Linked DNA regions of Daphnia pulex. The protein of the gene in region 2 purifies or fractionates together with the protein of the main gene of each other region. This does not show direct contact. Links are inferred from orthologs where the notes say so. Each region holds a gene or a part of one and is shown on either strand. Other genes may lie near its edges.

The links. Proteins that work in one complex are often made in the same cells at the same time.
Region 1: the proteins of baculoviral IAP repeat-containing protein 7-like (region 2) and serine protease HTRA2, mitochondrial-like purify together in Homo sapiens (affinity purification with mass spectrometry; 4 studies listed by BioGRID and IntAct, counting the BioPlex papers as one, with this or other methods). This does not show direct contact. The link is inferred for Daphnia pulex from reciprocal best matches to the Homo sapiens genes BIRC2 and HTRA2.

What each region holds. Positions count from the first base shown.
Region 1 is NC_060026.1:11,303,729-11,311,686, forward strand, and holds serine protease HTRA2, mitochondrial-like, read right to left. Parts: upstream 4,361-7,958; 5' UTR 4,309-4,360; coding exon 4,101-4,308; intron 4,025-4,100; coding exon 3,916-4,024; intron 3,816-3,915; coding exon 3,686-3,815; intron 3,563-3,685; coding exon 3,476-3,562; intron 3,407-3,475; coding exon 3,279-3,406; intron 3,206-3,278; coding exon 3,136-3,205; intron 3,069-3,135; coding exon 2,906-3,068; intron 2,801-2,905; coding exon 2,638-2,800; intron 2,571-2,637; coding exon 2,408-2,570; 3' UTR 2,352-2,407; downstream 1-2,351. Other genes in the region: TAF6-like RNA polymerase II p300/CBP-associated factor-associated factor 65 kDa subunit 6L, read right to left, coding at 27-596, 671-898, 961-1,071, 1,163-1,336, 1,412-1,756, 1,819-2,001.
Region 2 is NC_060023.1:3,932,683-3,941,145, reverse strand, and holds baculoviral IAP repeat-containing protein 7-like, read right to left. Parts: upstream 6,976-8,463; 5' UTR 6,901-6,975; coding exon 6,663-6,900; intron 6,605-6,662; coding exon 6,443-6,604; intron 6,382-6,442; coding exon 6,184-6,381; intron 6,127-6,183; coding exon 5,688-6,126; intron 5,619-5,687; coding exon 5,122-5,618; intron 5,049-5,121; coding exon 4,984-5,048; 3' UTR 4,750-4,983; downstream 1-4,749. Other genes in the region: uncharacterized protein LOC124198280, read left to right, coding at 1,217-1,300, 1,386-1,578, 1,639-1,766; uncharacterized protein LOC124198279, read right to left, coding at 2,721-2,938, 3,011-3,109, 3,182-3,503, 3,582-3,691, 3,764-3,896, 4,009-4,148, 4,243-4,330; loricrin-like, read left to right, coding at 7,925-7,933, 7,993-8,074, 8,373-8,463. UniProt on the Homo sapiens protein: Multi-functional protein which regulates not only caspases and apoptosis, but also modulates inflammatory signaling and immunity, mitogenic kinase signaling, and cell proliferation, as well as cell invasion and metastasis.

The sequences.
Region 1 (7,958 bases), on a different chromosome or scaffold from region 2:
GCGGGATGAATTCCGAACGAACATTTTTACAAAATTAAATCAACCGGATTGTAGAAAAACAACGTTGAGTTGGCGAGAAAACACTTTGACAAACATTTGAACTTTGAATTAGATAAAATGGCAAAGTTGGAAGGTGATCCCTTAACGCAGGGCGATACCTTTTTCTTCAACAATTGCACAGGTCGTTGTTTCCAGTTTCTGACACGGAGATTTATGTTAGCCATTCGAAGAGGGTTCCTGTCAGAATAATCAAAGACATCAAAGAGATCGATAGGTACTGGCGGATCGTGAGGTTTTCCGTTGAGGTTGTATCGCCATCTGGACTGAGGTACAGGCTTATGCAGTGTCTTTAAAGTCCAGTAGAGTTCATCACAGGAATCACCAACTTTCTCGGCACGATCTCTCTGAACTTGCTGGCAAAGTGATAATGGAAAATGACCGATGCGAAGTACCGATGAGCCCATCAGTTCACTGGTTAGTCGATAAATTTCCCATCCCTTATTCCATAACTGCTCTGGCATCAAACTGCTTTTATCTGCGTCTGCGGTTTCCTCCAATATTCTCATCTTGTAGCGCAGGACATCAATGACAGCACTCTAAATTTTTTAAGAGTGGAAAAGAAACATAAATAAACATTGTAAAATGATATGCACACTAAAAATAACAATACAATTAAAGCATCTTCCAGGTAGAGGACATCCTTGTCACTTTCGGCCATTCCATAAAGTTTATTTAATAAGGCATTCCAATGTTCCGCAGTGGCAATATCCAGATAATTACTGCTTAGGCACCTTAAGGCCATCAATGCCCTACATTGCACACTGATGTGACGATCAGCGTCAGCAATGACACGTTTCAAGTTTTGAACAACGTCTTGGACTGAGCCATCGATTGACAACTGAATAATCACAAAGAATTTTAAGCATTCAGAACTTTTGTTAAAGGTATTAAAATAAATACTTTGGCTAGAATGTGTAAAATGCTAGAGATCAGCTGGAAGATGCTGTCGTCTAATTTCTCTCCTCCATGATTCAAAATAAGATCTTGTATCAACTGAAGGAAACATTCCTGCTGAATAAGTAAAAAAGTTTTTTTTTTTTTTTTTTTTTTTTTTAAAATTCCAACAGTATAGATATTTTAATGGATTGTGTGTTGTGACTACCTCTGATCCAATGTGAAGATGAGGATTGTTCAACAGTGCATTGAAAATTCTGGGAATCCTTCTGACAACATGAGAATTTTCACTGGTGAACCCAACTAAATTTCTTAAAAACCCAGAAAGGGTAGGCATCAAGGGCTGCAGTTTGGGATTCTCACGCAAGTTGGCCAAAGCCACCTACAGTTTGATACAAATTTCAGTTGATAAAGCATACCATTAAGTAAACCTGTAAGAACACAATCTGCTGTTCACCTTAACAACATATTCTGAAGTGCTAAGTAAAGACTGAGAAATTTTCTCAAAGTATTGAAAATAAATCTCTGGTTGTAGTTTGTCTTCAGAATCTAAAGCAAGATACTGGATTGTCAATTTCATAGGAGAGTAAACTTCTACATCTGTTTCAATGGGATATTCCTGTGTGAGTTCCACTACTCTGTCTAAAGAACTGTAAATATCAAACTCTGGTAAATACAAAAAATCCTCTGGAGTAGAATTGGGTCCATGAACTTGTGGAACATCACTCCAACGAAGGGCAAGGTTAACATCATCCTTGGTTAGTTTAGATCGTTTGCTGTGACGTAAAATCTGACTGCAGCTCTAAGAAGCATTCAATCAATTGAAATTGATAAGTTATGATAAAAGAAGAAAAATATCTATACCTGTATTAATTCCCTCAATCTATACGAAGTATCTTCAGCAAGACTTTTTGAAAGAATTGATGGTACATTTGGATACCCAGCTGAATCAGCAATGAGCTGAATGGACTCAGGAGAAATTTGGATGAACTTCTTTTCAGACCCTGCTTTGTCAGAATTCTTCTCATTATTCACATCATTGTTCATCTTTCTTGTCACACAAAGAGATGGTTTCTCTTGTATTGAAAAGCAGTGCAATTGATACAAACATTAAACAGATAATCTCATGAGGCAAACTAGTAAACTGGGAGACTTCACGCCGGAGATTTCAAACTGAGCCGTCTGCAAACAACCTCCATTCCACCGCCAATATTTAGTTATTTTGTTAACAGTAGATGGCTCTGAGTGCTTGTATGACTATGTGCCCGCCAAAAATGCTTATTCGATTATTCAAACTTCTTGCGGGGCAAAATTTTTTCCACAATCACTACCTCAAAAGCTCAAATCAGACTAAAAACTCTTGGAGCTGCAAGTATACAAAAGAATTGAAATTCATGTTGATTTTAAAATTTTATTCTTTGCATGACAAATCAAACAGAAAAGATTAATTTGATCAATCTTCCAAGGAAATAAGGAAATTAATCATTTCTCGTTTCCTGATGACTGATATTTTAATTTGACTTTCATTTTCTTCAAGATTTTTGTAAATATCCTGAGAATTTATCGTAGGTTTATCGTTTATCGACACAACGACATCACCTGGCTGAAGTCCTCCCCTATATTAAAATCTTTATATCAATCCATCTTTGAAAAAAAAACAATACAATTTTAGCGTAGTCTTACCAATGTGCCGGACTTCCAAGAACAACTTTCCATACCAACACACCATGTTTTACATTAGGTGGAAGTTCAGTACCCCTCAATTGTAGTTCGGTTATCAGTTCGGTAGTAAGAGTCAACAATGTAACACCCATATAACGACGTTTAAACTCCTTCTCAGTATTTTCTAACAGCAACAACAAAAATATATGGAAAAACATAATCACATACAACACTGAGGATCTTGGATATAAATATCTTTGTAACACATAAAATTAATAAAGAATAATACCTTTTTCTACTCCTTTATTTGAAGAACAATTCTTGAGAATGGAGAGAAAATCTTTTACATGATCGATGGGAATTGCGAAAGAAATGCCTGCAGTAACTTTCATAGCGTTGACACCAACTACTTCTCCGTCGAGATTAATGAGTGGGCCCCCCGAATTACCAAACTGAAAATAAGACCATATGTTATTGTGTTTTTAAAAATACAAGAACAATGACTATTGCTAAATTTACAGTGATTGATGCATCAGTCTGAATATATTCCATTTCTTTTCCTTTATTTAATCCAAGCTCTGAGCTTCCCCTAGAAAGAGATTTACAGAATTATAGGCTATACCTTTTAGCTTTTTAAACATAGGCTACACTATTTTATTTACCTATTAATAGAGGATACCACTCCAGCAGTGATGGTGTTTGTTAGAGATAAAGGACTGCCAACTGCAACTACCCATTCTCCTGGTCTGACAGTAGATGAGGAACCAAGCTTCAGAGTTGGTAATCCTTTCTACAGGAACCAATAAGATGTTATTTTTGTGAGATAATCATCTTTAACAGATGCTGCTGTTTTTCTTACACATTGAATTCTCACAGTAGCAAGATCAGTTACTGTGTCAATATTTTCAATAATCCCTTGGAACATTCTTCCATCATGAAGCTTAACCTAAAGATACAAATTTCCATATTATTGAGGGCATAATTTTTTCCTTGCCTACTCATTGTGTTTAATACTTCACCATCAATTTTATACAGTATTTACTCTATCATTTCATCCATAATGATTTACCTGTACCGAACTATTTGGTTGTCCAAGGACAACATGTGCATTTGTTACAATTAATCCATCACCTTCAATAATAAAACCTGACCCATGAGACACAGTCTGCTGTGGAGCACTAAAATTGTAAAAAGAATTCCTGCAAAACATAATGTGAAATTTAAATTTTGTTTAATGTGAGTATTAAGTTGGTTGAATGTGATTCAAAAGAAAATTAGATTTTAATAACTGCATGAAACCTTAAATTTGATTTGATTTCAATAAAAACAACTCCAGGAGCCACTTTTTCAACAACATCAGCAATGAAATTACACTTTTTTCTTGGACTTTCATCATTAAGTTCACCACCTTAAAATCCAATAATCAAATGAAAATGGATAATGACCCAAATAATAAAATAAGTTATTATGAAATGAATCCAAACTTTTAGAAGTGGCAAACAACTTATTATTGTGTAAATGGAACTCGAACAGGAAAGCTCCTAAGGCAACTCCTGCTAACTTCCACGATATATTACACCAACAGTATTTCTGCAAAAATTCATTTCGACTTTTAAGGGAATTATAACGAAGGACGGCAAACTTTCGGTTTATAAAAGTAAGTTTTTTTATCATACGATAAATCGAAGACATTTGTACTGTTTATGAATTGTAGCTACTGTTATGGTTCAAGGCAGGGTTGCCACTCTTAATTTTGTTCATCCCAAAATACGGTCAGAGCAGAGCCATAGACAAAGACCACTGGTTGATGCTGTCCATAAGAAAATTAACATGGCCAACTGTCGCCAGAATTCTTGCTACCCTTCCTCCGATTTTCCCGATTCTGTTTTGCTTGTCCTGCCCTCTAGTGTACGTTTTGTTCTCTACACTCTGCTTACATCTATTCCATTGCAATCATTCAATTGATTTCTCTACTTTTGCAATTGGCAAACGTCAAAATTTAATACAAAATGACTTTTAAGTAAAAATTTGTATGAAAAAATTACCTAGAACTTTTAAACGCCAGCAAAGAATTTTACCAAGACAGAAGGAAAACAACTTTCGTCTGCAACACCCTTGGTAGCCACGGTGCAGTACAGCAGTTTATCCGCTAGGGGCAGGACAAGCAAAACAGAAACTCGGGGTCAGTAGGGATAGGGCTAAAAGGATAGGACATGCGAAACCAGTCTTCTTTATCTATGGCAGAGCTCTGGTCAGAGCTATAGAATACTGGTAACTAGCGCCACTGCCATGTTAACTCCTCTCGGAAATTTTCTCTGGGGTTGAAGCAGAGTTATAGATGTATAACCATAGTGGAGTAAAGTTATATTTTAACCTAGAACAAACTGCAAGAATTGATTTTTTTAATGAACTTTATTACTATCAAGGTAATAAATACTTGTTCAAAACCCTCCGAAGAAATAATTATATTTACTATTAAAAATATTGAATTTAAATAAAAAATTTCATTTAACTATAAATTAAATACAGAATTTAAAATATTAAAAATAAAAGAAAGTCATGAAATGATACCTTGTGATAGGCTACATCATATCACCAAATATGAATGTTTTCTGTCGAACGGCATTCTAGTTGTATAATTTAGAAGTTGTTACATTTTTAAAAATTTACAGTGCCGCCAAAAAGGTTTAACACGGGCTCTTATGCCCGATAGTCCCTAAGTAAAGTGACGATAACTTATAAACTATAGGACCTAAGTTTTTTCTATTTTTATTAAAAAATAAAGAACATCCTAGCGTATAAGAATTGATCGTTGAATTATGGTGTTAATAGGACTTTTTATTTAGTTATTCATACTTAAACTTAGTCTATGATTTTGTCTTATTAAATACAACAATTCCCACCACGAGTGTTGTCATCGTTTTCCTGTCAAGCAAGCAAAAAATTAACAAAGTTTCAGTAGATGGCCGCTGTTGGCGCTGACAATTAGGTCTAAATCGATACTTGAGCTCATTTTCCCACTTTCGATTCGCGATATTGGCTGCAACTTTAGGAAAAATTTCCGAGAGGAAAATTTTACAGGCAGTGGTTCTACCATCATCATAGCTCTGGGTTGAAGCCAATTTTAGCAATCGATAGTGAAAATCGGAGCTAAGATATCGATCTCGACTCTTACTACTCCTCCACTTTTCCCTCCATTCCTATACTATTCCTATACCCTATTTCCCCACACACCCGCCGTGGCGCTTACAGCTACGGGACAGGGCAGGCCATGGACTACTTAAGCTAGAGGACGGGACACTCGTCCTATCCCGCCATGTTATAGCTTGTCGGGTGGATTTTTAATCATATTTTTTTAAGAAGGGTCAATCGATAGAGATTTAAAAAGCTATTCTAAGTCTCCAAAGCACCTTTCTTGTGAAGATATTAAAAAAAAAGATATTTGCGCTTAAATTTTGAGGGGAACGGGAGAGGTGCTCGTTGGTTGTCTCCACCTAGCGCTCAGAATTCTAAACTCTTCCATGGTTTTTAGAAAGAAAACAAACAGAATCCAGAGAATCACCAGAGAATCACAGATAGCAGACGCACCTAATCAAACTAAACCAAAACAAAACCAGAGAATCATAGAGTGGTAAACCAACAATCACCGCTAGGCGGCGACAACTAACGAGCACCTACGTCAATTTCTAATTAAAATATCACCGAAATTAAATAATTCCCGCATAGGGATAATTTAATAGACTATAGCTCATTTCTAAAGCTCTATTGATTACTGTAACAAAAAAAAAATGGTAGGCGACATAGGAATTGACGAAGTGTCCCGTCCTCTAGCTTTAGTAGTCCATGGGCAGGCAAGCAGCAGGCTTCACTTCCAGAGAAAAAAAGCAATGGAAGGGCTCGCCATATGAGTGGCGGTACCAGTATTCTATAGCTCTAATACGGTGTACCGGAGCAGGGCCCAGGGCTGTGTCCGGGCCCCGGACACAGCCCGGACTCCGGGGCCATGAAAACCCGGGCCACAGCCCGGGGTAAAGAAAAAAAAAACCCAAAATATATCAACCCACCCAGGCATTTTTGTACGGGGCGGACGGGTTGAACCACCGGTTCCACGGGCCAACCCGAGGGGTGGCGCCATCTAGTACTCACATAGGGAATCTCGTTATTCAATATGCCTGCGGCCCCAAGAAAGACTAAAAATATTGCCGCAACTCCGCGAGAATTTCGTAGCATGAAAATTAGGATAAATGGTAGAAAAGGGCGTTCAGGGGTGTTCAGAAGACAGCGTTGACGTGTCGCTGTTGGAAAAAGAAGATAATTTAGAAATTTAGGGAATTTTTTAAAATTTGTAAAAAAAAAGTCTTTTTACACGATTTTTACCCGGGCCGTGACCCAGACGGTAAATTGTTTGTGACCCGTTGGGCGACACGGGGCGGACCCATTTACGCCATTGACCCAACCAAGGGTGGACCCATTTACGCTATTGACCCAACCCGCTCAAACCCGTGTTAAAAAAAAACCCATCTGGGCAACCCATGAAATAAAAAACACGCCCAAATACCTCCGGGCCACAGCCCTAAGCAGGGGTATGAAGAGATGGTTGCCAATGACAATGTGTCATTCATGATGGCACTCTTTCCAAATTCGCCATGTTGCACCCAGTTAACATGGAAAATCGGCCCGAGGGAAGAAAAGGGATAGTAGAATTCTTCCCTCGGTGCGAATCTCCATGGTTACTGGGTGCCAACATGGAGGATTTTGAAAGAGTGCGTTCACAAAACAGGGGGGGGGGTAGCGTCAGTCACTTCCTCTATTTCTCATTCTAATAAATTGATCAAAAAAGAAAAATTAATTCGATATACAGTACGCCAGGTACTGGATCACCCCGGTCCAAAGTAGTGTTTTACCTGCGTGAGATAGGCCTAACGATGTTTCGCGTGGGAATTTTTTTAGTAGACAAATTGGAGCTACAAGTTTCATTTTTTTTCATGACAAGAATACTAACCAATCCAGGTTTTCCACCAATTTCTGCAAGAAAGGTGCCTTTAAAGGGTTGCTGAGAGCCTGCAAAACATTCTCCCAGTTCTGTAGGCAGTTTGGACAGTCCCGCTCCTTGTTGTGTAATACCTTACATTTAAATGCTACTGCACCCTTGCGCAGAACATATTCATCTGAAATGTGAACTGCATTTTTGTCTAATTGTGGCTTGACACGTACTGACTACCTTGCCACCAATCTCTTTCTCCGTTCTATAAGCAGTAGCGGTAGAAAGAGAAAAAGGGAAAAAATGTGCATCAAACCGTTATGCATTTATCACTGGAGAAAGATAGCGTAGTTTCACCTAC
Region 2 (8,463 bases):
TTTCAAAACCTGTTGACACAAGCTTTATAACGGCTATGCAATTGGTAGCAATACAGGCAAAACCAGAGTAAAATTGAATAACAGAACTTCCCATCTTCAACTGGAATTTGTTAAACAGTTAAATTTACTTTTTTTTGTTCGGTTTAAACCGACTTGTAATACCTGATTTTGATTTTGTTTCTGTTGTCATTCTGATTGTAATAAATTGTACTTCATACTGCAACTGTCTTCATTCGACGTTTTAACTTTTTTTTTCATTTAAGAGCCTTGCTAATTGCTTGCTTGCGAGTTCTCACCCAAATTGTGTTATACAGTAGACTTTCACCGATAAAATTACACTCGTTAAAAGTTAAAACGAAATTAATTCGGATTCATATTCATATTAAATTCGTGTGTCCAAGAATACCGAAAATGGGCTACACTAGCCAACGTAAACAAAATTTTGAAATGACTCATTGTATATACTACAAATTAAAAGATCGTTGAGCGAAAGTCAATTCGAAATCATCATCTACTAATTTATGGTCGAAGTTCCTTCGTTTCAGTGTTTATTCCAAGTTATCTTCTCCGGTAGTAATTTTTTTTTCCGAGAATGCGCGAGAATGCTTTACGAAAAAGATTAATTAGTCTAAACAATCCGCAAACACCATACAGAGCAAATTTATAATAAAATCTTCAAATAATGTTTCTAAGGTCAACTAAGGTTCTAAAACAAAACAAAACAAAATCGGTGCGGTTTTTCGGGTTTCGAAGAAAGCGCAGAGTCGCAGAGAATGGAGCAGTCTAACATCCTGCGTTACCATCAAATTTGTGACCAAAATGGCCAATCAGCGTACAGCATCTTTAAAACGCTTACGCTGATTGGGCCATTTTGGACACAAATTTGTGAAACGTGGATGTTAGACTGCTCTATTCTCATTTCAAATTTCCGACTGGAATTTCCACTAGGTGTCTCTGAACTACATTTTTTTGTGGGAAGTTCGACAGTAAGATCTCGCCATCTCGGCCTGATTATTATAGATATACAGTATTTACTCGTATTATTTTTGTAGTCCATTTTATTTTACCACTTTACACAGCCTTGAAATATCTGATGTTGGAAATTCTAAAAAAAAAATTGCTACTTTTTGTGAACAATTTGTGAGCTCCCAGTAATTCGTATAGTTTAAATTGACCGGATTCACGGTTGTCTCAAAAATCACAACAAATGTCTCAGAATACTTCAGGTTCTACGTCATCAACAAGCTATTCAAATGCACAGAATTCGAGTTCGACTGGTGGAGGAAATTCTGAAAACCAAGTAAATATTTATCCAAGATTTCTCTATTCAGTTTTATTAGCTTGCCAAAAATATAATGTCATGATTTGGAATGGTGGTATCACAGGTTCTTACAAGAGGAAGACTTCAAGATTTGGTCAGAGAAGTAGACCCCAATGAACAACTAGATGAAGAAGTTGAGGAACTCTTGTTGCAAATTGCTGATGATTTCATTGAATCTACAGTAAATGCTTCCTGCCAACTGGCTAAGCACAGACAAGCAACAGCACTAGATGTGACTGATGTCCAAATGCATCTAGGTGTGATTCTTTGGTGTAATTCCTAATACATTACTTTTATTAAGTTTTTAATTTATTTAGAACGCCAATGGAATATGTGGATCCCAGGATTTGGAACAGATGAGCTTAGGCCATACAAGAGGGCTCCAGTGACCGAAGCTCACAAACAACGAATGGCTTTAATAAGAAAGCAAATGAAAAAATTTTGAATACATATGAATCATTTTTGTAAACATGGTTAATTAACAATAAATTTAATGACTTCTATATGTTTATTGATGTTTACATTACATTTTCTACATTTTCACAAATCACCATGAAGGCTTGTAGTCGGGGCCATGTTCCCTTCCAAACAGGGCACTTCTATCTTTAAACAATGAAAGTCTGTCATACTCAATTTTTTCAATTTTCCATCCAACGTAAAGGCCAATGAGTGGGACGATGGCCATAGCATTTTTCGGCCTCATCAAATATTTCCATGTCATAGAAAGTTCTCTACTCATAATCGACATTTTCAAGGTTTTTTAGTTCTTGGTTTCTGGCGATGTCTCGTGCTTTACACCTTTGAGTGTACGAATAATCAGAGTAGATGAGACCGGCAGCAATAAGAGGGAAGGTTAAAGAAATGGCGTTCCTTTTCAACGATGCAAGAAAAGACCGAAGAGGAACGTTATGCAACAATGCCATCAAATTCAACAACTGAAAAAATAGCTTAAAATGAATCAAAACATTAGATTGACATTTCAAATTCAATTGGGCCAAATTTATAAAATTGTTATACCTTTTTAGCATGTGAATGCTAATCTGCTTCTTATGGATAATGGCTGTGATTGCACGTACGGGCGTCCAGGTTCAGCGAAAATAACAGATGGGCCTCTGATCCTAGAAAATAGTCCGAAAAGGCGGAAATGTTACCATGTTTGTAGTGTGTTGTCATCTGGTGGTGAAAACCATGAGAGAACTGAGAAAGTAGTATGAAATGGACAGAAGGCAGCGCCATAGAGAATAATAGCACATTGAGTCATTGACCATGACTGTAAGACTGTTCAACCAGTTCAACAAATAAAAATAAATAACACGCTAATAAAAAAATAATAAAACATATAGGCCTAATAAGCATTCTTCTTGCATGTTGTTTATTGAAAATTTTAGCAATTGTTATGTCATTTTTTGCAAATAAAATAATTACGATCAGAGCATCTTGAAGAGAACCATTTGCCTTGTTTGTGATATTTAATTTCGAGACAGTTTCCCTTTATAAGTAAAGCTTCTTGTTCTTCAAGGGCCCAGTTGGTGAATGTCACAAGTTCATTGTTATTTGTCCAGATCCACCCGTCTCCTTTACTGTTTTTCTTTCCTGATGTCCAGAAGGTTCCCGATGCTTAAATATAGAAATTAACCATTTAAATCATTTAATTTAAAAATATAGGCGAAAATAAATAATGTGCTGTACCTTTGCGCTTATCAACTATTTCTAACAAAGACAAGGGGCCCCGCCATCCCTTGTTGCTTGGAAAGTAAACCAAGCCACTTCCACCAGCAGCGTCCAAATCTGCAACAATTTAAAAAAAAAAACGATTTTTACCTCAACTCCCAGCAATTAATAAAAAGATTGCGATTAAACCTGATATTATTCCAACTTCACCAGGTTGAACTTGCTGCGAAATTCTTTGCTGATCTAAATCTGAAATGTCCGAAGAAATATGAATGCGGACTTTATCGCCTGGTTCAAATATATCTTCTTCCAGTGTGAACACTCCTTCGGACGGCCGACGTACATTTGAGCTATTCAGACTTCGAAAGCCACCCATTTGCAGATTCTGGGCGGGATACCAGCGAACGATACCCGTCTTCCATTGCACTTTAATGGCTAAACCGATGTATTCCCGATCCTCATAATCTAACACTCTGCCTTCGTCTATGGAAGGCCGTATTTGGCGCCCACACTGAAGTTATAAATGAAAATAAGTAAGGAATTTTAGCATAGTCGGCGGTACAATGAAAATAATTTGACGACAACAAACCACTGAAACGCATTTCACTAACATTCCTGGACTGATGTTATCATAGACATAATTAGAGTAGACTTCTTCACTTGCGAAGTCATTCTTTTTAAGGAATTTTCCCGCCGAAACTTGAGTATTTTAAAAGATTATTTTAAATTAAATTATTACACGGACAAATAAAACAATTAGTTAAGGTTTACGAAATGTGAGTAGCTTACTGTGGTAGTTGTTGCTCATGAAATTGTAAAGGTATTCATGCTCTTCTTCGTTTTCCAAATAAAGAAGTTGCATTTTTTCTTCACGACAATAATGGTTTGATTCCGCGAAACTAGCCTACAACCATAGAAAATCATGCATACTTGAGAAACTTGTTAAAAATTTTAAGTCTTTAAAACTTTCATCCGGTAGGATCCCACTCATTCATTCATTATAGGCTATATAGTACCAGGAATTGACTAATACAATAGAAATGAGTGCCAACAAAGTAGCAATCTGCCTCTCCATGATTGCTAGACAAGTTTCCAATGGGTAATGGCCGAGGAGGAAGAATTGCTGATCCATTGCCGAGAACGATTCTTTTAAATCCTGATTCGTTCATGAATATCATATAATTACAAATGGCATCCTGATTTCATCTTGATAATAGAGAAGTAAGTACATGCACGAATGAGGAACTTACTATTTGATTTTTCGAGGTCACCATGACTGTCCGACCTGATCGAATGAACAAGGAGGATGAAGAAAACCGCCGCCTTGGGAGAACACATTGCCTGCTGGAAATCAAATACCGTTATTCGTTAGTGGCTACGCATATCAAATTAACAAGTGGGTTACACTCAACAGTTAGAGACAGTAGGCCTAATCACATCGATAAGATATTTAGGAATGAAGGCTTGTTTTTGTCTACTGGCAATGCACACAGCGAAACGAACGCGTTCTTTGTTATTGCGAATCTTAACTTTTTTTAAAATGTTTGTTTTGTTCTGAAATTATGTTACAGACCTTACTCTAGGACGTGATGCTTGGTGAACACGCAAGACTTGACTATTGGCCATACACGCACTCGCACCTTTAACATTCAACTTCCTGTTTCGGTTGAAAAGAGACCTTCACGGTTTCACGGTTGAAGTGGCCATCGAATACCAGAAGCTTCTTGCTATCACTGAAATATTTCGAACTTGAGTTATTTGAGATTTGAATAACTTTCCGTTTATTTTTTAAACTAAAGCCGGTGGGTTTGCAAGAACATTTGCAAGAATTTAAATAATAAACAAAAATCCATACTAAATACTTATTAACAGTGGAATTTTTTAAATTTACAAGTACTAAGTTGTTCCAGAACTTAGAACTGTACTTCAGAAAATATCTATAGTTCGTCTTTGCGATCGCCAATTCATTTAGACGAATCCAAATGAACTACTTAAGACAAGAAGATGCGGACTGTTCCTTTAATATTTTTTCGACAAAGAGGACAGTGTTCGAGAGCTAAAAAAAAAAAAAAATTTATTAAAACGCTAAAATTTTAGTAACATTATTTGATCAAAATATTGTAGTTTACCTGCCGCGCATTGGACACAAGTCACAATGTGTCCACAAGGAATATATGCAATTGACACTTCCTCGTCAAGACATACTTTGCAGAGACGAGCTTCTTTCAGGCGACGAATCTCCTCTTCCAAAATTTGGGCTACAACAAATAAAATGTTGGTCAAATTAATTATTTCAAAATGTCTGAAAATTAATACATTACTTCTATCGACGGATTGTGTGGATGTTTCACATGAAGCTGATACCTCTAGGGCACAACTTTGTTCTTTTATTTTTTCAGGATTTTCTGGCTTACTAAGAGTATCCATTTCCCGATGCGAAAGCGGGGTTTCAGATCTTACTTCCGAAACCAATGGTACAATTGGTACGTTCTCATTGGTATTTGTTCTATGTTCATCGCTCGGTGTACTTAGAGAAACGGGAAGTTCTACAAGGGTATATCCAGTTGATGTTACACGTCGACGAGAAGAGGAAGGTACAGCTGACGGCCAGTCCACATCTTCATAGCTAAGAAGGGTGAAAGGAATCAATGAAATGTCTAATTCGAGTTGAGAAGTGAACACGCAAAAGACTTACTTGCCATCTTCCAACGACTGGCGATGCTCGCTGTGATGCTGAATTTCAATAGCTGCCTCAAGAAGCGAATCAACTGTGTTGAAAGGCTGCCCAGTAGTACGAATTTGGTATTTTAGGGCCTGCCTAACACGAGAAAGGTCAACGCCCATTGCTAGAACAGTCTGAACTATGGGAGTTCCTAGTAAACTTCGCAGATCAGCTTCTGAAGCCTCTCTTGGTGAGGCACGTGAATTTCCCACTGATGCCGACAGGGAAGGCTTGGCTTTAGGATGATTGGACATGGATTCTGTCGCTTCTTTAATGTACTGTTCTCCTTTCATCAGCATAACAAAGCGACACTGAGGGAACCATCGAGCGTGTTCAAGCCATGGGTCGTCTTCTGGTTCCCAGTTTCTTAAGCCCGATCCACAATGAAAACAATTGACATGATCGTTGGTCCCTAAATCCATAAATTAAATTAACAAAATAAAACCAGAATTTTTTGTGCTATTTGTACCAAGATGGAAGAAACCAGATAGAGCCATTGCTCTTGGAGTTTGCTTCAGGTGGGAAGGCCAGTTATTATAACTTTTAAGTCGTGCATCCAAAGTAGCATATGAGGAATACCGAGGTCCGCTATGTTTAGTTATGCCCAACTCTTCCAAATTTTCTCCTACTAATGCATTCAATTGCATACTGTCTGGAGATCTCAATTCTATGAAACAAAATTGTATTGTAAACCAAATAGATAATGAAGTAATTAGTGGTTGTCATACCAGTGTCTGGTGAGGCATTTGGTCTAAATTGTGAAGTAAACTGCCTGGTAGCTCCAAATCCTATGTTCAACTGCTGAGGTACAGGTAGAGAAGCAGTTCGTTCTACATTCAGATGTACAGTGGATGGATTTTCACCCAAAGGTATATTACCTACTGGTAAACCTAACCAACGGACCACAAATTAATGTCATATTGCAATTTCCGAATTTAACAGACCAACCTAATATGAAAGCGCACGACGGAAACAAACGTTGATGCTCTCTTCTTGGGTCGTCATTTATTTCCCAATCTCTAACCACTCCTCTGCAGAACGCGCATTGAACTTGATCGTCAACTCCCACATAGAAGAAACCGGCTTTAGCAAGTAAGAGGGGGCTTAAAAATGTGGCAGAGAAGTGTTCGTTAAAAGTTCGCAAACGAATATCTTCTCGTCTAAGGGTTATCCATTCTTGAGGCATGATGAAAAAAGAAAAACAGACACGACGTCAGTAATACTGACACCATTGTGTCAAAACAGAGCAATGTGACGTTGCCAAGTATTTGGACTTTGGATATTCTGTTTTTAAGAAAAATAAAACTTTGTTTTATAAATGTTAGTTTTAAGTTTTGTTAGTTTTGTTAGTTTCTTAAGTTTTTTCTTATAAATGATTAAAAAAAGAAGATTACAGAAAAAACTAGAAAATTTGAATAAAATATGAAAGCATGACCTGATAAGCTTTTCAATGATAATAAAAGTTGGACGAAATGAGCAGTCTGTCAAATTTTTTGACGGTCGTATTCTCATCAAGAAACAATAGAAACAAACAATGATAACGGCTTAAATTTTGAATGGACTATTTATTTTGATTCGGACACAAACGGTTGATTCTCGCATCTATTTACAGTGAATGTTGATGATCTATTCACTTCAAACTCAAATTTATTAAACCATTTCGGAGGGAGACGCCGACTTTCAAACAAACAAACGACGAACTGAATGTCGAAATAATTGTTTGTCGTGTTGAAGATGAGAATTCTCATTTCATCATGAACGCGCATAAAAAAGAGAAATCGAAATGTCCTTACTACACCCCATTCGAAGGCGGACAATTGAAAAAGCGAAAGTGTTTAATGCCTTAAAATCTCATTGCTTTTGCCGCTGTTGATGTGATTGTGCCGCAGCAAAGGACCGAAAAGTGCGATCTTAGGTTTTTGTTGCCCTTTTTTGAATCGAAGAAGGCCCTACTCCACTTACTTATTGAGCCTCAGTCAACAAGCGCATCGTCGCGCTCTCTCTCACCCTCCAATTCTTTACTGTCATGAAGTTTCAAACACGCAGAAAAAAAGAAAGAAAGACCAATAGAAAGATTTCAGGCAGTGTGGTCATTAGTGGCGAAGACCTGGTGAAGACGTATATAAGGAGAAAAGATTTATGACTGAAAGCAGACGCTGAACTGAGCTGAAGACTTGAACACATCTAGTATTTCTTCTCAAGTAGTAGCAATGAAGAAGGTAGGCAACTAATATACTTGTTATCAAATTTTAGTTACATAACATTAAGATATTTCCAGGTTTTACTGTGCAATTGCCTTCTCATGGCAGTCATTGCCATCAGCCAGACGGATGCATTCTTCCTAAATAAGGGCTCTTCAGGTAAATCATTTTATAGCTATTCTTGTCGTCGCTCAAAAGTTACTGTTAGTGCCTAAATTTATACCACTTGTGTGCAACATAACTCAATTTCAGTAGTCATAAACTCTTGGCTGTCCCGTTGTAGTTAAGGAGTTTTGACTCTTATTTAAATAGGTAAATTGCATAATTATTTGATCAAGGTAAAATTTTCCATGCTACAGCTTGTTGTTTGAATTTCAGAATATTAAAAAATTAAGTATCGATTAAATTCTTTAGTTGTTTTTTTAAATACGAGTTTTTAAATTGTTTGATTTTGCAGGGCGCGCAATGAGATCCTACGGTGGTGGTGGTGGCGGCGGCTATCGTGGAAGTGCTGGAGGTGGAAGTGCTGGATATGGAGGCTCTTCCGG